Callithrix jacchus: one gene and its partners. The protein of the gene in region 2 binds, or shares a complex with, the protein of the main gene of each other region. Links are inferred from orthologs where the notes say so. Each region holds a gene or a part of one and is shown on either strand. Other genes may lie near its edges.

Region 1 (4,129 bases), on a different chromosome or scaffold from region 2:
CTCTCAATTCAACTAGGCGCCAGTTTATAGGACAATTTTGACTACTTTAGGCATTTATGCCCCTGTGAAAAGAGGACATACAAGACTGAAAACAGATTATCAATTCTAACTATTCACTTTTCTTCTTACATTGCTATAATTTAGCAAAAATATACCCTAATAAGGGCCATCAATCTATAATACAGCAACACACAAACCAAGAAGAGGGTTGAGAGAGGGAGGGGATTTTTTTTTTTTAAGAAGCTTATAGATTTTAACTGCAATCCATTATGTGGCAAGAATATCAAGGTTATAAATTCAACCATCTCACTCAGTAAAAGTATCAGACGTTAGGAAATTGATGTATTTACATATTAGCCAAGGCTTAAGGTCTAAAAAGGATACTTTGTAAAAATGTAATATTGCTTTTAACTCGAATCCAATTTTACTAAATACCAGGGTCCTCTTGCTGCATATTAAAATGAAAGCAACCCTGCAAAAGAATATAAAGTGGCAATATGGCATAGTGCCAAGGCATGCCAAACCTGGACAGCCTGGATCCTCAATGCACTCACTAGCTGGGGTTACTTTCTGTGAGTACTTTCCAATCTGAAAATTTGAGACTATAATATTGCCCCTATTACACAGCTAATTCAATGATTAAATGAGCTACTATATTAAAAGCACTTACAACAAGAACTAGCAAATAATTATGTCATAATATTAGTTAAAATGATGATTATGATAATCAAGTCTCAAATGTCTCTAGCTCCTAGAAATTTACTGGTTCTTTTCCAAAGATATGTATTCTTTTTCAGACCTTATAAAATAAGCATTTCATGAAAGACCTCTGCGTAGCCTAAATCTACTCTGAAAATTTGCATGTATCACAACTGCAACATTTCATATTCAGTACTTGCAACATAACTCATTTTAAGCATTCCATTTTTTATCTTTTTTGTGAAAATTTTAAGGATTTTTATATCCTTAAACATCAGCATATTTCCCTTTAGCTAAAAAACGGAGACACTGAAATATATACAAAAATAAAAAGAAACTGAAAAATGTGAAGTGCTCAAAAAAGCTGAGAGCACAATTTTATACACAGTGTTTTAAATTGCTACCATAAATTCTAGGCAAAGGCATTATTATATAAAGTGAGCATGTGCGCAGCGGGCCTTCTTCTAGAGGTAGGTAGTCACAGCAATATTGCTCCCAATACCTGACGGAATAAGGTAAGAATTTGCAACCGCAATCCCGGTACAGAAGCCCATGTTTACAAAGGCTCAAAGCTGTGCCTTCCAGAGTTCCAAGTGGTTTCCACCCACAGGTTAGATGAGTTTCTATGCATCACATCCTTCCTAAGGTGCACTCAGGGGGCCCTGGCTCAGTGCCTCGGTGCCCTCCAGGTGCCGGGCCAGACGTCCGATGCTGGCAGTGCGGGAACGTGCGTTCAGCCTTACTCTAGTTACTTCCATGGGCGGGAGTCTCTCTGACAGCAGGATGGACGTGCGCGGAGGGAGGAGCCCCGGGCAGGCGCAGCCCCGCCAGGCTGCCCCAGGACGGGTCCCCGCCAGCGCGCACACTACACCGCCTTCTCCTTTCAGCTTGCCGATTTCAAGCGTTGCGGTTTTTAAAACATCACTCCTCCTTCCAACCTTCTGTCCTCCCTTAGCCGCTGGCCTAACTTAGAACCGAAACGTTTGGATGTGTGACAAGCCACTGTCATCTCCTTCTCGCCACAATCGCCGAGTTCTTGTCGCCTCCCAGCAGTACGAAGCTTAGAAGCAGACTTCCGCTGAAAACATCCGGACGCCTGCGTACGCGCTGACCCGCACCGAGTTCACCGTGTGCATTTTCCGCCTCGTTCGCCAGCGTGTTCTGCAGTGAGCTTTCAAACACTCCGGCAAACTATGCCCGGAATGCAGGCCCCTGCGAGGCCGCGTCTCCCCGCCCCGGGCGCGTTCCGTCCCGCAGCTGGCCAGGGAACAGGCGTCTGGGGACAGTCTCGTCAAACGCGGCCGGCCGCCAACTTCAGGGAGGCCGCACCGCCCGCCCGCCCGCCCGCACTTGTTGCTCGCTTGGGGCCGGGGGCTCCTCTCCGGGCCCCGCCTCGCCGACCACCGCGGGTCTCAGGGGCAGCGCACAGCCTGCGGCCCACGCCCCCGAGACGCCGGCCGGCCGCCGGTGGGACTGGGCCGAGACCGCGGAGCCCCGGCCCCGGAGAGGGTCAGAGTTGGGGTCGGGTCGCGCAGGCCGCTTCCTCACCTTCGGGGACTGCGCTCCGGGAGTGGCCGGGTCGCTTTCGCACGGCCGCGGAGACAGTGCCGCCCCGGGCCCGGCCGCCGCCGCCGCCATCAGCCCGAGCGCCCCGCGCCGCCGCCGCCGCCGTCGCCTCCGCCTCGTCCCGGCCGCCGCCGCCGCTGCCGCCGCCACCGCGCGGGCCCCCCGCCGCCCCGGCCCCGCCCCCTCCGCCCGCCCGCCCGGGGGCCGGCCCCTGCCGCCGCGCGCCCCGCGGCCCGCCAGCGGCGCCGCCGCCACCGCCATGGCCGCCGCCAGCGCGCCGCCCGCGCGGGAGGGCGCCGGAGGCTGGGAGGGCGCGTGGATGTGGGCCGGAATGGAGGACGCCCGGCGGCGGCGGCGCTCCTCACGTCAGCCCGACCCGCCCGGCCGCCGCCCCCCACAGCTCCGCCGCTGGCCTCACTGCCGCCGCGGCTCCCTTCACCTCCGCCGCCGCCTCAGCCCCGCTGCTCCCCTCAGACCCGCAGTTGCCTCAGCCCCGCCGCCGCCCGGCTCCCCACGGCCCGGCGTCGTACTCGGCCGCGGCTCCCACCAGCCCGCGGCGCGCCCCACCTCCCGCCCGCCCTCCGGCCCGCCCCGGCCCGGCTCGTCTCCACTTGGCGCACTGGCAGCCGCCCCCTCCCCGCGGCCCCCAGCCCGGCCCGGCCCCTACGCGCGTCACCCTCTCTCCCTCCCTCTCTCCGCGCCCCGCTGCGCTTGCCTTGCCTCGCCCCGCCCCTCTTGGGGGTCCCCGCCCCGCCCCCTCCCTGCCGGGGGTCGCCGTGCCCCGGAAGCCGCCCGGGGACTGCCCGGCCTCTGCCTTTGCGCGCTCGCAGTCGCCGCCCCTCGCCCGCCTTTGTTCTCGGGCCGCCCCTCTCGCTGGCGCGCCGGAAGACAGCCGCGGAGCCACCTGTCCCGGCCGCGCTTCCCGGGGCATCCGCAGTTGCCCCGGGGGGCCGAAGGCGCCCGCCGAGGAGCGTGGGGAAGGCACGGCGGGAAAAAGTCGCCGAGATTCGGCCCGCGTGCCTGCGTTCCCGCGTGGTTGATGCCTCCGCCGAGGACGCGGGTGGCGGGGAGCCGGGGAGGGGCCTGAGGCCGGCTTGGCAGGTACCCCCGGGAGAACGCGGAGCCGGTGTATGATCTCGGCTGCGTCTGGGCTCCCCTGGGACCTCACGTGAGGAGCCGAGCTTGGCCAGTCCGCAGCTGCCATCACGGCCTCCCTCACCTGCGCCTGCAGATGCTTGTTCTGGAAGGTGGAGGATGCGCTCAGATTCAAAGTACAATCCCGCTTCCTTTCCATTCATTGTTGTTGCCTACGCCCCAGCAACAGAACTTCGGGAAGACAAAGGGATGATTTCTAGGATGTCGCATTGACAACCACCGTCACCACGCCCAGCCCAGCCTGGCTCCTTGCTCCGGTCCGAGAGGTCCCCACCGACGGTGCCAGGCCTTCGAGCCCTGCTGACCCAGCTTCGTTCTCGCAGCTGAGGCCAGACGGGCCCTGTTCCTCAGTCCTGCCCCGTGCAGGCGTCAGCCTCCACTGCACTCCTTGTCCGAATCTGCCAAGAGGCAACTGCGTCTTTCAGCTAAATTGTCTTCATTCATCAGGACCCTCGCTCAGACTCCCCGGATAGAGTTCAGCGTTTAAAAAAAAAAAAAAAAAACCTCTGCGGCTATCTGCATTGTGAAAGCTGTTACAAAATGGAGTCAAGGAAAGCCACGAAGGGAAGGTTCTCACTAATAATAGCCTGATATCAAGAATTAACACAAAAAACTGCCAAAACCACAACCTTGCACAAAGGCCACAAAACTACACAAAAAGTGCTTTAAGGACATGTGCACAGCTACTGCTGCCCAATCTTGGACCGGC
Region 2 (3,511 bases):
AGACTCCAAGGAAACAAAGGAATCACCTTAACAAACTGTCTTTTTAAGTTGTTTCCAAAAGCAACCACCACTCTTTCTTCCCCTCCCTTGCTCTAAGTAGAAAAATATATAAAACCTAAAAATCAAAATAAGATCTATTTCTAGCCCTTTCCAGCTCCAAACAGAAGAGATCGAGGACTTGGCTCTTTGGGCCCAAATGGCCAGTCAGGTGAGAGAAGAATGCCAAAATACTTAAAGTGAGCTTCTTAGACTTTAACACATTAGTAACTATCTTTCAAAGGGAATCTACATGCTAGTCCATTCCCAGCTACCCTCCTCACCTGCTGCTGCTGTGGATACATTGTGGTCTGTTGGCTGGGGAAGGGGCTGCCAGAAGGGGTGCCTTGGGTGGAAAACTGATTGCCATAGGAATCATGTCTACAGGAGGCAAAGAAACACATGATCAGGGTGGGCAGTGGCAAAGTCTGAGTCACAGCAGCACTGGGAGCAGGCTTTACTCACCGTTGCTGCTGCTGCTGCTGCTGTGGGGGGTAGCGGCTAGGAGAATACATCCCCGAGTCTGGGTTAGAAGGCATGAGATTCGGTTGTGGGGCCCCAGTGCCCATGTTTCCCTCAGGCCCTATTCCAGGCTCCGTCCTAAAGAAAATTGGAGAGGTGGATTGAGCCCACTATAGCTCTGGGTGCTGGGGGATGGATAGGAGCTGGTGCCATGCTTACCTCACTCTGTCATAAGGACCTCCATAGGGATAGTGCTGTCGTGGTCCCATTGCCACATTTCCAAGACCAGGGCCGGCAGCACGGCTGTAGGGGTCACCCATCCCGCCGTTGGGGCCCTGCCCTGAGGACATGAAGGGATCACTCCCTGGAGCTGAGTGTATAAAGGCAGGCAGTGAACAAACTGGCAAGTTGGCAAGCCTAGTAATCTACACTTTGCCTGCTCCAAAGACCCAGGCCCTTTTCAGAGTTCAGGTTTGATCTCACTGTTTTCCAGACAAGTTCAAAACAGAGTTCTAAAGATGCCCCAACCAGCAAAAAGCATGTACTTGTTAAGGGATGTCAAGGTGAGGCCAGGGAAGAGACAAAGGAGGTAGGGATGAAGAGGGGTAGTTAGGACAGGAAATGCATTATCTCAGAGATTGGCTCCACAAGAACCCTGAATCACTCAAGATTTTCCCCCATTTCACTGGCCCTGTCTTTAAGAGTACAAGTTCAATAGCAATCAGATCAGTCACCTTTCCTCATGCTGCCATAAGGATCCTTATTTGGCTCATAGGACATGCGCCCCATCATGTCAGAGGTATTCATACTGGGCTGATACCCAGGGTTTGGAGTCATGGAATTCCGCTTCTGGAATGTGGAGTCACTTCCATCATTAAAGGCATCCTGGATCCCAACCGAATTGCTCCTGCTCCAGAGTGAGGAAAATCAATTAAACCCCAGATAGACCAATTCCTCCAATATAACACAGGACACGCAGGAGTCACTGGCTGAGAAGGCAGAGGCAGGGACCACCCTTGGGCTGCAAAGGAGTTCCCATGCACTTATCTCCAACCATCCCCTCAACCATCCACCTCTGCTCTTGGCCTTACCTCATGCCTGGCAAGGGAGGGATCTGACTGTGTGGTGTGGATGCTGGAGTTGGTGGCTTTAAGTCTCCTCCTTCTGCCATGGAACTGCTGGTTGACTGAGGAGTCTGGGGCCCCTGCATAGATCCTGATCCCGCTGTGGACAGAGAAGCAAGTTGAGCAGTTTGCTTGGTATGGAAGTGTTTAACTCTCACAAAAACACATGAATGACCCAGAATCTCTTTGAGAAAGTTCTTCCTAAGGCCTTTCAAGCGTGATCACCATTCTTATCAGAAGATCTGCAATATCCAGGTCATAAAGAAGGAAATTTGAGGGTTTTGTAGCTCTTTTTGTTTTACATGTAGAGAAGAGAAGTGATGCGGCCATGACATCACTATGCTGGTGATTCCTTGAGTCACTGCCAGCTTCCCTGGCTATTTCTCTTCACTTCTCCAAGGACCTTGTCTAACCTATTAAATCCTGTAATGCTGGTGCAGGAGCTCCAGTCAGAACCTCCCAAATCCTGGGTAGGGTGGAATCCAAATCTGGGATGCATTTTAGGAGCCTAGGAGAGCTCCTGTTCTAAAGCATCCAGCATAGTGTCATCCCTCAAGTTCAAATGTTCTTCTAAGCTGATAAGCACAAAACTACTAGTAATTTAATGTTTCCAATAGTTACCATTCCCAGCAGTAGATATCCCACTGCTGAGGCCTCCCCAGCTGATGAGTCATCTCAGGCACTCATTACACCCTCAGAGGTCAACACCAGGGCACATGTGTTTACACCCACCTTCCAGGCACCCTGGCCTTCTTTCCTCCCCAGGCTCGCCCTAGGTCTCAGCCTCCTCTCAGAATGGAGGGTAGGCAGAGGCACTCCCATCAGAGAGTTCCATTCATATCCCTTCCCCACTCCCTCCTCATTCATTACTATCTCAGCTCCCTGGGGAATTCAGGGCTCTAGTGTGAGCTGCATTCTAAGGTGCTGACATCAATGGGCCAAAGCTTCCAGATGGCCCTGCTTTGCTGCCATTTGTCAGTTTCCCCACTCTTCTTGTGCCCCTCCCATTCACCAGTTTACAAACATTTGGCAAGTTGCCAGGTGCACAACAAAAATTAAAATTTAAGGGCTGCTGAAGAGTACCTCCCAGGGAAGTTTCCACTGCCCACTCTCTATTCAGCCAACCTGTTAAGACCTGTGGTAGGGCAAGAGCACAGATCCTTGGCATATCCTGCTGGAGGCAGGTGCAGTAGGCCCTCTCAGCCTTAGTGGGGCTGCTGACCCCATCCTTACCAGGAGAGGGAGGCTGGATCTTGGGCTGGGACTTCTTGGAATCGGCAGCTGCAAAGATGTCTGGGGGAGGATCTTCTCCCCGTTCAATCTTGCACTCAAAGGCATAGAGACACTGGATATACTGCTTTTTCAAGGAGCTGGCAGCACTGCTTGATGTGCCCACATTGAGGTTTGTTGCAAGTTCCCGCCATTTTTTGTTCTTGTTGACCTGTATAACCAAACCACAAGAGTCGGGGTATATCTCCTGCCTGGTTTTCCTGTCCATAAGCCACAAGCCCTATCAGGCTGCAAGGTAATTCATTTTTGTAGAATCACAGTTCTTAGGTAATTACAAAAGTTAATCTTGCTTGGTGGATAGTTCACAACAAGTGTTAAATCCAGTTTTTTAGTATACTGCCGAAAAATGGTGTACAAATCATCTGCCTATTTAAACCCTACTTTTTCTGAGACAGAAAAAATAAATCTCGCTCTGTCGCCTAGGCTGGAATGCAGTGGCACGAGCTTAACTTGCTGCAATTTCTGCCTCCCGGGCTCAAGCGATACTCTTACCTCAGCCTCCCAAGTAGCTGGGATTACAGGAGTGCACCACCACACCTGGCTAATTTTTGTATTTTTAGTAGAGACAGCATTTCACCATGTTGGCCAGGCTGGTCTCA
Region 3 (4,260 bases), on a different chromosome or scaffold from region 2:
TAAAATTATCTCTAATTTAAAAAGAGTCTAAATACTGAATACTGATTTCTTTTATTTATTTTTATTTTATTTTATTTTGAGATGGAGTTTTGCTCTTGTTACCCAGGCTGGAGTGCAATGGTGCAATCTTGGCTCACCGCAACCTCTGCCTCCTGGGTTCAGGCAATTCTCCTGCCTCAGCCTCCTGAGTAGCTGGGATTACAGGCATGTGCCACCATGCCCAGCTAATTTTTTTTTTTTGTATTTTTAGAAGAGATGGGGTTTCACCATGTTAACCAGGATGGTCTTGATCTCTTGACCTCGTGATCCACCCGCCTCGGCCTCCCGAAGTGCTGGGATTACAGGCTTGAGCCACCGCGCCTGGCCCTGATTTCTTTTAAAGTCTAAAATACAACTGGTCTGGATGCGGTGGATCTCACCTGTAATCTCAGCAATTTGGGAGGCTGAGGCAGGCAGGTTGCTTGAATTCAAGACCCAGAAATTCCAGACCAGCCTGGACAACATGGTGAAACCCTGCCTCTACAAAAAATGTAAAAATCAGCTGGGCGTGGTGGCTCATGTCTGTAGTTCCAGCTTCTCCGGAGGCTGAAATGAGAGGGTCACTTGAGCTGAGGAGGTAAAGGCTGCAGAATCGTGCTGCTGCACTCCAGCCTGTGTGACAAAGTAAGAGCCTGTCTCAAAAACAAACAACACAACCCCAAACAACCACAACAACAGAAGCCACTGTACTTAAAGGTGGGTGATGAGAAATCTGTGTGGTATAGGCTGGGGAGGAAAAGAGAGCTAAGCGACCATTTTCTAAAGTGGAAAATTCATAGATAATACCTAAAACAAAAAACTCCACAGGCTGCAATTTAAGTGTGATATTAGAGATATGAAAGAAAATACTCCAAAAATTAGCTCAAAAGGGAGAAAAACAGTTGCTTTTATACAGGGGGAAATATAAGGAGGCAGGTAAGAACATTTAAAAAATGTCTACCGGCGCCCGCCATCACACCTGGCGAATTTTTTGTAAAAATACAAAAATTAGGCATGGTGGCGGGTGCCAGTAATCCCAGCCACTTGGCAGGTTTAGGCAAGATAATTCCTTGAACCCAGGAGACACAGGCTGAGATCTCGTGATTGCACTCCAGCCTGGGCAACAGAGTGAGACTCTGTCTCAAAAGATTAAAAATTTAAAAAGGACTTGGAGACGGAGAAGGGCAGCAGAGTAAGATAGAGCAGGAAAAGAGCAGGAGGGCTGGAGACAGCTAGGAAGGAAAGAAAGTGGTGAAGATGGAAAAGGGAGGTCAAGTGGCTGAGAGTGGTGGCTTGAGGGGAGAGGAGAGGTGGATGGTGGGAATGAGGTTCGGTGGAGATCAGGGCCGGACGTGGAGGTATGGAGTAGGCACTCACCGGAGCCTCGGACATGAGCACTGGGTGCAGGTTTGGCTCAGACTTGACATGTTTGCTGTAGGTGTGATCCAGGATGGCTCGGAAGCACTCCCAATCCTCAACTGGGGCCAGAAGAGCAGCACAGAGACGCAAGAGGGCAGGCAAGGGTCAGGGACAGGAGGAAAAGGAGGGAGGAAGGCCAAGTCCAAAGGAGGGTCAGTGAGTCCAGCTCCAGGGGAACACCCTCCTTCCCAGAAACCTGATGGGCCCCTGGGATGGGAACCAGGCAGCTCAGGGAGGCAGTGAGAAGAACCCTGGGACTGCAAGGAAGAATCCTTGGGGAGTTGGGGCTGCTATGTCCCAGATCATGGAGAGTGAGCTCCCTGTCTGTGTCAGGAGGTGATGGGTGAGGGCCCCTTACTCATGCCATTCTTCAGGGGCGACATGACCTCTGCTCCATCCCGAGGCACGTGCAGGGCATTGGTGTCGATGTGAAAGATCTTCCCTTTCTTCTCTTTGTCCCCCTCCAGCTCCAGCCCGCCCCCCTCCTCCGCGGCCAGCAGCCCCACCGTGGTGGGGAAGTCAGCCTGGTGGGGAAGGGTTGGGGGAGGATCGGCAGGGAGAGGGGTCACCTTCTTGCCCCTGTCCAGCCCCACAGCGGGGTCCTCAGCCCGCCCCTGGGTTTATTCCCGCATTCCCGCTCAGCAGAGCTTCTGGGCGATCTGGGAGAGCCCTGGGTCACTGGAAAGCCCGAAGAAGGGTTCAGAGCCCCTAGAATTTGGGGAGGAGACTGAAAGGCTCACCTTGGGGCAGTCCTCCCCAGCGTACCCAGCTCGGACTGAGAAGGAGCCAATGTCAAAGACCAGCGCCCCCACCTCATCTGTGCGGGGAAACAGGCCTGTAAGGGGACTTCCCCCGAACTCTCTCCCGCTAGGTAGCTCCGAGAGGAAGTCAGGGCAGAGCCACAGTCTCACTACTTTCATCACCAGTCTGGGGCAGGTGGGACTGGAGTCCGAGGTCCTGGGACTGGGGGCAGGGGCATCACACCGCCAGGTCCCTGCTTGCCCAGTGGACTTGCTCAGGTCGCCCTCCAGACGGGAAAGGAAGGGGCCGGGGACCAGTTGGAGGTGGGTTGCAAGGTAGAGAGGTTGGGCCCGGTGCGCGCGAGGCGTGCAGGGAGGACCGAGCGTAGGAGTGGCGGGAGACCCAAGCCTGGGACCGGACCCATTCGTGCACGGAGGTGACAGGCCCCGGGGTGCCCAGAGCTCGGATCGATGACGCGGGTTCGGAACGCAAGGCTGCGGGAGCCCGGGGCCCAAGGCTCGCTCACCTCCGCCGTAGACGCCGCCGCTCATAGTGCCCTCTGCGCGGCTCGCGGCCCGTGGGCGGCGGCGGGATCAGCACCGAGGCGGCCGGACAGCTCCCGGGATCCCGGGCGGGGCGGGGCGCGAGGCGGCCAATCGGGAAGCCGGATCCCCCGCCCCCAACGGCGCCGCCGATTGGCTGCCAGGCGAGACAATGACCCGGACGGGGGCCGCTGCTTTAAAGGGAAAGACGTCCCCGGTTAGGCGGCCGGGAGGAGATGGGGCAGGGGGCTCCCAGCAGGGACTTAACCGTTCCTAAGGAACGCGTGGCAGAGAGGAGAGAGCAGGAAAGAGGAGGAGACCAAGACTCTGTAGGACGACTGATGAGGTCCTTACCCCCTTGCTTTTTAGTTTTATTATTTTAATTCTTTTGGTAGAGATGGGGTCTTGTTATTTCGCCCAGGCTGGTCTCGTACTCCTGAGCTCAAACGATCTTCTTCAGCCTCCCAAGTAGCTGGGATTACAGGCAGGTGCCAGCACACCTGGCTAATTAAAAAAAAAAAAAAAATATATATATATATATATATATATTGTAGAGATGGGGTCTTGCTGTGTTGCCCAGGTTGATCTCTAACTCCTGGCCTCAAGCAATCCTCCTACCTCAGCCTCTCAAAGTGCTGGAATTATAGGCATGAGCCATCTCGTCCCTTCTCTATTCCCTTACCTTTTAAAGCAGGGTTGCGGAGAGAACTCCAGTACCCAGAAGGGTCATCTATCTTCAGGCTGCTGTGAGCCCGGTTTTGCCAATCCCGGGCCTAAATGGAATCACTGAGAGAGGGAGGGAAGGGAAGATTGAGAGAGAGACCAGAAGGAGTGTGTCTCCATCTCTCCCTGTTTTTTCCTTTTTTTTTTTGACACGGACTCCTGCTGTGTCGCCCAGGCTGGAGTGCAGTGGCGCGATCTCAGCTCACTGCAACCTCTGCCTCCTGGGTGTTCACGTGATTCTCCTGTCTCGGCCTCCTAAGTAGCTGGGACTACAGGCGCGTGCTAATTTTTTGTATTTTTAGTAGACACGGGGTTTCACCGTGTTAGCCAGGATGGTCTTGATCTCCTGACCTCGTGATTCGCCGACCTTGGCCTCCCAAAGTGCTGGGATTACAGGAGTGAGCCACCGTGCCCAGCCTTTTTTTTTTTTTTTTTTTAAGACACGGACCCTCACTATGTTGTCCAATTTGGTCTCGAACTCCTGGCCTCAAGTGAGCCTCTCGCCTTGGCTTCCTGAGTCATTGCGATTACAGGTGTCAGCCACAGTGCCAGACTAGCAAAAGATTTTCTACTGCTTGGACCCCAGGTTCTTCTGGGCTCCTGGCACCACAGTTTTGGTAGCAAAGACGAAGAAGCAGCTCTGACACCTTGGGGTAGCTGACACACACACCTTCTGTGAGGGTGTGTGTGTCTGTATGTGTTGGCGTGTGTGTGCATGTGTGTACATATGCACATCTGAATGCTTGTGTGTGTTGAGCATGTGCCCATCTACTTGTTTGGGGGTGAGGGAGCTTTGAGACCAGAGATGGCACAGGAA
Region 4 (3,511 bases), on a different chromosome or scaffold from region 2:
CCCTTGCCTCCCCAGTTTCCAATGACCACATGGCTGCTGTCAGATGAATAACTTTTAATCCAGCCCCGCACCCCAAAGCGGCAGAGGAGTGATGCCAGAGCCTGGGGTGGAGCGCTGGAGCTCTGAGTGCGGCCAGAAGGTCCTTCGTGCTGCTTGTTCCCGGGCTCCTAGGTGTTGCGCACAACCAGCGACTGCTCCAGCTCCTGCCTGCGCTGCTGGATCTTTAGAGGAAGTGAGAGCAGGAGCAGGTGTCAGTGTTCCTGGTGAGTGATCAGGACCACCCCACCACCTGACACTGCCCACCCTGGAAGAGCATCTGGGAGCAGGGGTCTGCTGCATGGTCAGGCATTGTGGTGAAGCTTTACTGTGGGGAGCTAAGAGGGCTGCCCACAAGCTGAACAGGGAGGTTTCTCTTGGAGTTGAGGAGGGGGAAGCCTCAGGGCAAGGGACCCTCCATACCTTGCAGTAGAAGTAGCGACTGACGGCCTCCTGGGACCAGGGCTGGTGGTAGAACTCAGCCCGGCGCTCCTCTTCAGGGTTGCCAGCTACATCTGTCATCACCTGGGAGGGGGCATGGGGTCAGCCCTGAGCTCCAGATCCCCTCACCTGCCCTGGAGTACATTTACTGTCTCTCCTGATGTGCTTGTCTTCTACTCCAGTACTCCCTGAGTCTCCCTCTCACCTTGAGGTCCCGGCTCTGGGAGCGGAGCAGATCTTGGACATAGCCTTTGGGGTCTCTGGAGAAGCTTAGCATGAAGTCCCTCTGGATCTTGAGCTGATTTATGGACTCAATCGTCTCATGGATCTGCAGGTAGAAAGATAGATGCTTTCCACCTGGCTGTGGTGATGTGGGAGAGGGAGGGGAAAAGGAGGTGGGTGGGAAGGGGAGGGAGAGGGGTTTTCTTTGGTGAAAGACAACACCTCAGAGCCCCTGATTCCTCTGAAGTCCCAGGGGAGGAGGGGATGGGCAGAACTAAATTTGGAATAAGGTTCAACTCCAAGTAGCATGGAAGGGCCATGTGTACCCCACTGGCCCACACTCTGGTCGCTTCTTTTTCTTTTCCTTTTTTTTATTTAACCCAGACTGCTCATCTGCAACCACACCCTGGTCTCAGAAAAGTCTGCTTTATCATCTCTGGGTTAATGTCCCATTCCAGCTCTGGGCTTGGGCCCCACCTTACTGTCCAGAGCACTGATCTCCTGCTGGTTGGCTGTGGACAGGAGGAAGCTGCTCATCTGCCCCTTTAATGGCTCCTCCACCTCCACATCAATGTCATAGCATGCCGTCTTCTTCTGGTCTGAAGGGTCCACACTGCCAGGGAAGTGCAGCCCTCAGTGTTCATGATGCCCCTATAGAGGCCCTAGGGCCCCGGGGTGGGGGCAGCTCCAACAGGGAGGGAGAAAATACGGGAGTGGGAGGAGAGGGAGGGGCAGGGAAGGCAGGAATGAGATCATTCCCTGGTCTGAGAAGCAAGCTGGGGCCACCTCACCTGATGACATGGTTGATGACAATTGGGTCAGGGGGCAGTAGCAGGGCTGTGAGGCGCTGGGGAATCTCAGAAAACTTCAGCCGGGGACAATCAAAAATCTAGCAAGACAGTTGCAGGGAGAGATCACTCTTGGAAGAGATCATCACGAAGTTGTAGATCCTTTGGTTGTAGAAAGGCCTCAAGAAGCTGAGAGTGAGTCTGATTCCTCAGTGCACAGGGGGATGGGATTGGGGTGGGCTGGTCTGGTGGTGGAGCCACCAGCACGGCTGACAGGGCCTGGGGTGGGTCAGTGTGGGGCAGGTTGAGAGTGCAGGCCCTGGGCCAGTCTATGTATCGGTCCTGCCTCTCCCATCACTATGCAGCCATGAGCAAGCTGACACCTCAGGCCTCTGTCTTCATCTCTAGAGTGGGGGTGAAAATAATATCTATCTCAGGGCTGTCGTGAGAAGTCGGTGCTAATGCACATAAAGTGCTTGGAACAATGCCTGGCACATGGTAAGTGCCCAATAAATATCAGCTGCTATTTTTACTCCTCAGGTTTATCTGCCGTATTTATTTTAAAATGCATTAATAAGAATACTCTCTTTTGGTGGAATTTCGCTAAGTCCCTTTTGCAGCAATTTGATCTTCCCTAACTGCCCAGGAGAGTAGACGGGGCAGGTATTATCACTCCACTTCAAAGATAAGGAAACAAGTCACTTACCCAGAGTCCAGACTCAGGACTAGAACCTGGGAATCCAAACTCCAGGTGCCAAGAATATTACATTCCAGAAAGCAGTTGGCTTTGTAGGGTTCCAGGTCTTCCTAACTTGGGGGGGCGGGGGCGGGGGCTAAAATGGATTGGCTGCAGCACAGAGCTAATCCACAGTAGGACCTGAACTAGAATCCTGGTCGGTCTCTTGGCTCCAAGACCATAACTCTGTACTGCTTCTGCTACTCAGGAAACTAGAAGGGAGGGTGGTAGTTACCTTGGTAGAGGTACTTCCCCTGCTGGAGAACTCTGCCTGATCCCCAGGCCCCTGGGTTCAGGAGGGAGGTTACCTGCTGGAAATACTTGTCCCCATTGATGTATTCCTTGTCATGGGAGTCCTGCAGCCTGTTGGTCTTCACATACTGCCACAGGGCCTGGACGATGGCTGAGCGGCTCTGTGTGTGCAACCCCAGCAGCCGTGCTAGACGGGGATCCAGTTTGAACTGGGGAGGCTGGGAAAAGGGGACTGTGAAAGTTAGATCAAAGGGAGAGAATGGAAGGAGCCCAGGGCCAGGCCATTCAGGACTAGGGGGATGCGTTGACTGAGGGAAAGACAGGGTTGGGAGGGGAAGGAGGTCTCTCAAGATGGACCATGTTGGGACCTAGGCCTGCCCTAAGGGCCTCATGTGACATGTGCGGGGCAGCATGGCAGATGCAGACCTGGTAGTCCAGCATGAGGAGCAGCGTGCAGCGCACACTCAGGTCCCCAGGCCGTTTCACCTGGAAGCCGTCCGTCTCCTGGGTTGTGGGTGTCCGATGCCACTGTCCAGGAGAGAAGAGCTGGGTCACCCAAAGGCCCATCTGGAGCGGTGGGGCCCAGGACTCTAGGGTGGTCCGTGATCCAAATCTGGGCTGGTTCTTCAGGGATTCTGGCCTGTGGGAGGGTGGCAGTTCAAGGGCAGAGGGGATCTTGGTCTCACCTCAACGAGGTGGTTATCAGGGCCATAAAGATCTTTGTCCAGCTCAATGACCAAACTCTTGAAGAAAGAAGAGAACTTCCGCTTCTGTTTGCTGGGCTGTGGGAGAGAAACAGGGACCGTGGGTGCAGAAAAGGGACTGGGGGCAGAAGAAGGCCAAGTTGGCAGCAAACAGGGCAGCGGGCTTAGATGAAATCCTCTGCACCCGAATGTTTCTAGGCCTGCCCTGCCCTGCCCTGCCCTGCCCTGGACCGGCCTGACTCTCTAGCCCTTAGTGCAGACACCTAGTTCTGTTCTCAGTGCAGCCCAGGCCCACCCTAGGACACCTGGAGAGACCTGCGCCGGGACGTACA
Region 5 (4,075 bases), on a different chromosome or scaffold from region 2:
AGCTGAAATTCTTTAACCCCTGTGCCATTGCATCATGTGGCCTGGAAGAGGGGAGTGAAAGAAACCAATATATGCTAACACTTTACTGAATTACCTCAGCTACCACTATAGAAACCCTACAAGGTAGATTTACTAATCCCATCTAGAGATGAAGGAACCAAGACTGATGAATGTTGCCCAAGGTCACAGAGCCATGAAGTGGCAAAGCCAGGATGTAAACACAAGCCCGCGCAAATCCAAATCTCAAGACCCCCTTTCACCATACCATGAGAGACTCGGGGACTAATCTCAGGCACTCTGCACAAAGTATTACTAAGACAAAAGGAATGGTAAATTGGGGACTAGGCCAAGCCAATAATGCCCTGACCAGGGATAGGAATGGTAGAAAATAATCCAAATTTCAAAAATTACAAAATTCACAAATATTTTAAAAAATACAACTCTCCAGTTTGAAGGATTCACCACCAGCCCCCCCCCACCCTCCCCCCAACTTCAGCACTCACCGGCAGTTTAGTGAGCGGTGCATTGCTGACATGTTTGCCAAAAACTTCTTCCTGAAATTGTAGCAACTGTACAACAAGGCTAGACAGGGACTTGTTGGTGGGTGGTTCAGCTTGTATATACTAGGGATAAAGAGGGAAAGAAAAGAAAAATAGACCCCAGATGAATTGTCCACTATCTCCCATATTTCTCCCCCAGGCACTCTGGAAGCATTTGGAGCAGAGAAAATAGTGTCTTTTACTCCATTTAGTCTCTATAAAGAAAATGGCAGAAGGGAGACCCTGGACACCCCAACCAGGAAGCTGAAACACTGCTGCCAGCAGCCCAGGTTGCCAGTGTGGGGGAAGAGGGAAGCTTACTACTCATCCTCAGCTACACTCTGAAATTGGAGCTGCAGGACCCTAGTACTTTGGCACCTCATCTTCAGCCCACAGCACTGAGGGCTGTAAAATTCTGGAGGTTTACAGAGATGAGGTCATGGAAGCAATACCTCTGGGGCTCTACGAGAGACAAAAGTGTATTTCTTAGGGGAACTCTGTGTAAAGCCATGATTCCCCCTATAATGTAGCCTAACAAGAAAAGGTCAAGGAAGTCAAGGAGGGCAAGCTGACTGAGAGAGTGAGCTTGTGCATTTTGCTTCTGAAGAATGGGTATAAACGTCTTCATATGCCCTCTTAGACAGGAAGGGCCATGGGCTACTTAGCCTGATGGAGAAGAGCAAGACATCTACCCTGTCGGAGGAAACTGTATCTGAGACAAGTAACCCTGGTCCTGCTTCACTGTTTCCACATTATGCTACCTAGCAGCATCCTAGCCTTCCATTCTAATTTGAACCTGAGCCAGGAGACTTTCTTTTTACCTTTTGACCTGTTTTCTCCACCCTCATCACAAAGAAGACAGCACCTCTCAGTGAGAGGTGAAAAGATATCTGTGAAGGGAAAGGTAAATGACAAAGAGCTAAGAGCATGGAAGCTGAACCAGGTCACAGTTGTCAATCACCCCAAGGCTACAGGCTAAGCCCCTAGCCTAATCTCCCTGCAAAAGGTCAAAAGGCCTGGGAACAAGAGCCTCACAAAGGGGCAGAGACCAGCCATAGAAACAGCAGCTATTTGTCAGGATTCTGACACCCAGAGAGACCCCAAGGGCAGGACTAGTCTCATAACCAGGATCAGCAGGAAGTTCTCCTAAGCCACTAAGCACACTTCTGACTAGTTGCAAAGCCGGCAGGAAGAACCAGGGAGCTGAAAGAAAGCCACAAAGAGAACCCCTCTCTGGGAGTAGTGAGAAAGAAGAGAGGCAGACCATTTCCAGAGAAAACCAGGCCTAGAGACAAAGACGACACCAGGAAGAGGTTTAGTAGAAAAGACAGGTAAGGATTCCTGAACCCTTTGTTCACTACCTTATGATCTCCAGTTCTGGGGTTAGGGGGTGAGGAGCTAGAGACAGAAAGCTCACCCTAACCTCTGGACCCCAAACCCAGGGTATTGCAAAGCTAGGTTGCAGGGTGACTTCATTGTAAAATCGAGGAAAGGTTTCAGAAGGGGCCGCTACCCAGGAACTCCTATACCCCGGCTCCCTGAGAGATTCTGTTTCCCCTTAGATGAAGGTGGGGGATGAGCGGCGGAGACAGGTGATCCCAGGGTGGGGACCTTTTTCAGGCTGATGAGCAGCCAGCGGCTTGCTGTGTGACTGTTTACCCTCCTGCTTTCCATCCTCTCTCTCTCTGAACATATACAAAGCACTGGGGAGGCCTCAGCCCCGCTGGTACCTGGCTCCGTGGGGAGCTCTGGCGGGCATGCTCGGGTTTGCGGGGGAGCTCACTGGGCACCCGGTCCACTCCCGGCCGGCCGCCTCTCCCAGAAAAGCCAGGAGGGCGATGGCTGAGGGGGAAGGTGGGCTAATGGCATCGGGGCCCGCCGGGCAGTGGAGAAAAACAAGGGGCAGAGGGCGCAGCAGTGAGGGCGGGGGCTGGGCTCGGAGGCTGGGGGTGCGGGGAGAGGGAGGCTGGGGGAGGGGCGCGGGCGCGCGGGAGGGCGCGCGGGGGGCTGCTCCCGAGGCCGCGGGGGAGGGGCCGGGGCGGCTGGAGGGTGGGCAGGATCCTGGGGCTGCAGGGCCGCTGTCCCTTTGTCCCGCCCCCGGTCGCCAAGCGGCCCGGCCCGGCCCGCGTACCTTCTTATAGTTCTTGCCGAGCCACAGCCGCACGTTGTCGAACTGGGTCACGGTGTCCGCGGCCTCATAATACTTCACGTTGGGGCCGCCGTCCTTCTTCCGCACCGCCATCTTCTCGGGCTCGGGCCCCGCCGCCGCCCGCCCCACTCAGCTCAGCTCCCGCCTCCTCTGCCTCCTCCTCCGCCCGCCTCCCGCCGCCTCCCGCCGCCGCGGCCGCCGCCTCCCGCCGCCTGGGCCGGCCCCGGTCCGCGCTGCGCCCCCTGCCGGCAGGCCGGGCGCGGCGGCGGAGTTCCTGGTGCGGGACGACCCTGGCGGCCTCCCCGGCAGCGGCGGCGGGAGCCTCCGGGGAGGAGGACGCTTCCTGGAGGGGGCGCCATTCTCCAGAGATAGCTCTTAGCAGACGCGAAGCCCTTTTCCTCTTTTTGCTTCAGCTCGGCAGTATCACCTCGCCATCCCACCCCGGGCGGCCGCCGGTCCCCAGAGTGGCTCTCACCTTGCGCATTCCTAACCCCGCGGAGCCCCTAGTCCTCCAAAACCCAAACCCCTTTCCCCAAGAAGTTCCTTCCTTCCATCCATTCCCAGGAGCTGCCTATTTAAACTCTTCTGAGTCTCCCTCACCTCTCGCGCCTGGTCCCACCCAGCACCCCCCTCACTTGTTAACCCAAAAATTCCCTAGCCGCCACGCTGGGGCCCCAGTCCCTTCCCTCGGCTGCTTCCTCCGCAGGCCTCGCCATCGCCTCCTAAGTAGCTGTGAGCTCCTTGAGACCTCGCTCTTCGCTAGGCAGGAGGCCCTCCCTCCCTGGGCCACCCGGTTCATCCGACTCTTTTTCTTTGAGTGGCATAGATAGGAGGTAAGGAGCTAGGGGTGGGGAGTTCTATGGTGTGTGTTTCGCGGCCGGGCCCCCGCTTTCAGTTCTTGTATGCCTTTCCCGGTTGCAGTGCGGACCCCTTCTGTAAGCGCGCGATAAAGCGCGGTTTTGGAAGTCACGGTGGCCGAGTGGTTAAGGCGTTGGACTCGAAATCCAATGGGGTTTCCCCGCACAGGTTCGAATCCTGTTCGTGACGATGGCCTTTTTTTTTTTTTTTTTTTTAATTAAGACGGAGTCTTGCTCTGTTGCCCAGGCTGGAGTGCAGTGGCGTGATCTCAGCTCACTGCAACCTCTGCCTCCCGGGTTCAAGCAATTCTCCTGCCTCAGCCTCCCGAATAGCTGGGACCACAGGAATGTGCCACCAAACCTGGCTAATTTTTGTATTTTTACTAGAGACGGGGTCTCACCATTTGGCTAGGCTGTTTTTGAACTGACCTTAGGTGATCCGCCCGTCTCAGCCTCCCAAAGTGCTGTGATTACAGGTGCGAGCCACCGCGCCCGGCCTGATGGCGACTTTTTTAACCCCCTTCCTAACA

The links.
Region 1: ARID1A (region 2) and PHF10 share a complex: the UniProt entries of both Homo sapiens proteins name them as parts of the neural progenitors-specific chromatin remodeling complex. The link is inferred for Callithrix jacchus from reciprocal best matches to the Homo sapiens genes ARID1A and PHF10.
Region 3: ARID1A (region 2) and ACTL6B share a complex: the UniProt entries of both Homo sapiens proteins name them as parts of the neuron-specific chromatin remodeling complex. The link is inferred for Callithrix jacchus from reciprocal best matches to the Homo sapiens genes ARID1A and ACTL6B.
Region 4: ARID1A (region 2) and SMARCD3 share a complex: the UniProt entries of both Homo sapiens proteins name them as parts of the neuron-specific chromatin remodeling complex. The link is inferred for Callithrix jacchus from reciprocal best matches to the Homo sapiens genes ARID1A and SMARCD3.
Region 5: ARID1A (region 2) and SMARCC2 share a complex: the UniProt entries of both Homo sapiens proteins name them as parts of the neuron-specific chromatin remodeling complex. The link is inferred for Callithrix jacchus from reciprocal best matches to the Homo sapiens genes ARID1A and SMARCC2.

Annotation. Positions count from the first base shown.
Region 1 is NC_133505.1:176,378,841-176,382,969, forward strand, and holds the start of PHF10 (PHD finger protein 10), read right to left. Parts: upstream 2,811-4,129; 5' UTR 2,527-2,810; coding exon 2,248-2,526; intron 1,769-2,247; exon of another isoform or gene 1,202-1,768; intron 1-1,201. UniProt on the Homo sapiens protein: Involved in transcription activity regulation by chromatin remodeling. Belongs to the neural progenitors-specific chromatin remodeling complex (npBAF complex) and is required for the proliferation of neural progenitors.
Region 2 is NC_133508.1:63,425,951-63,429,461, reverse strand, and holds part of ARID1A (AT-rich interactive domain-containing protein 1A), read right to left. Parts: intron 3,064-3,511; coding exon 2,856-3,063; intron 1,723-2,855; coding exon 1,590-1,722; intron 1,409-1,589; coding exon 1,233-1,408; intron 869-1,232; coding exon 718-868; intron 637-717; coding exon 502-636; intron 418-501; coding exon 321-417; intron 1-320. UniProt on the Homo sapiens protein: Involved in transcriptional activation and repression of select genes by chromatin remodeling (alteration of DNA-nucleosome topology).
Region 3 is NC_133503.1:13,071,633-13,075,892, reverse strand, and holds the start of ACTL6B (actin-like protein 6B), read right to left. Parts: upstream 2,812-4,260; 5' UTR 2,730-2,811; coding exon 2,705-2,729; intron 2,255-2,704; coding exon 2,178-2,254; intron 1,962-2,177; coding exon 1,796-1,961; intron 1,497-1,795; coding exon 1,396-1,496; intron 1-1,395. UniProt on the Homo sapiens protein: Involved in transcriptional activation and repression of select genes by chromatin remodeling (alteration of DNA-nucleosome topology).
Region 4 is NC_133512.1:96,971,942-96,975,452, reverse strand, and holds the end of SMARCD3 (SWI/SNF-related matrix-associated actin-dependent regulator of chromatin subfamily D member 3), read right to left. Parts: coding exon 3,511-3,511; intron 3,258-3,510; coding exon 3,162-3,257; intron 3,004-3,161; coding exon 2,902-3,003; intron 2,694-2,901; coding exon 2,532-2,693; intron 1,589-2,531; coding exon 1,491-1,588; intron 1,313-1,490; coding exon 1,177-1,312; intron 806-1,176; coding exon 683-805; intron 562-682; coding exon 460-561; intron 222-459; coding exon 168-221; 3' UTR 38-167; downstream 1-37. UniProt on the Homo sapiens protein: Involved in transcriptional activation and repression of select genes by chromatin remodeling (alteration of DNA-nucleosome topology).
Region 5 is NC_133510.1:63,474,086-63,478,160, reverse strand, and holds the start of SMARCC2 (SWI/SNF complex subunit SMARCC2), read right to left. Parts: upstream 2,807-4,075; 5' UTR 2,782-2,806; coding exon 2,671-2,781; intron 624-2,670; coding exon 504-623; intron 1-503. UniProt on the Homo sapiens protein: Involved in transcriptional activation and repression of select genes by chromatin remodeling (alteration of DNA-nucleosome topology).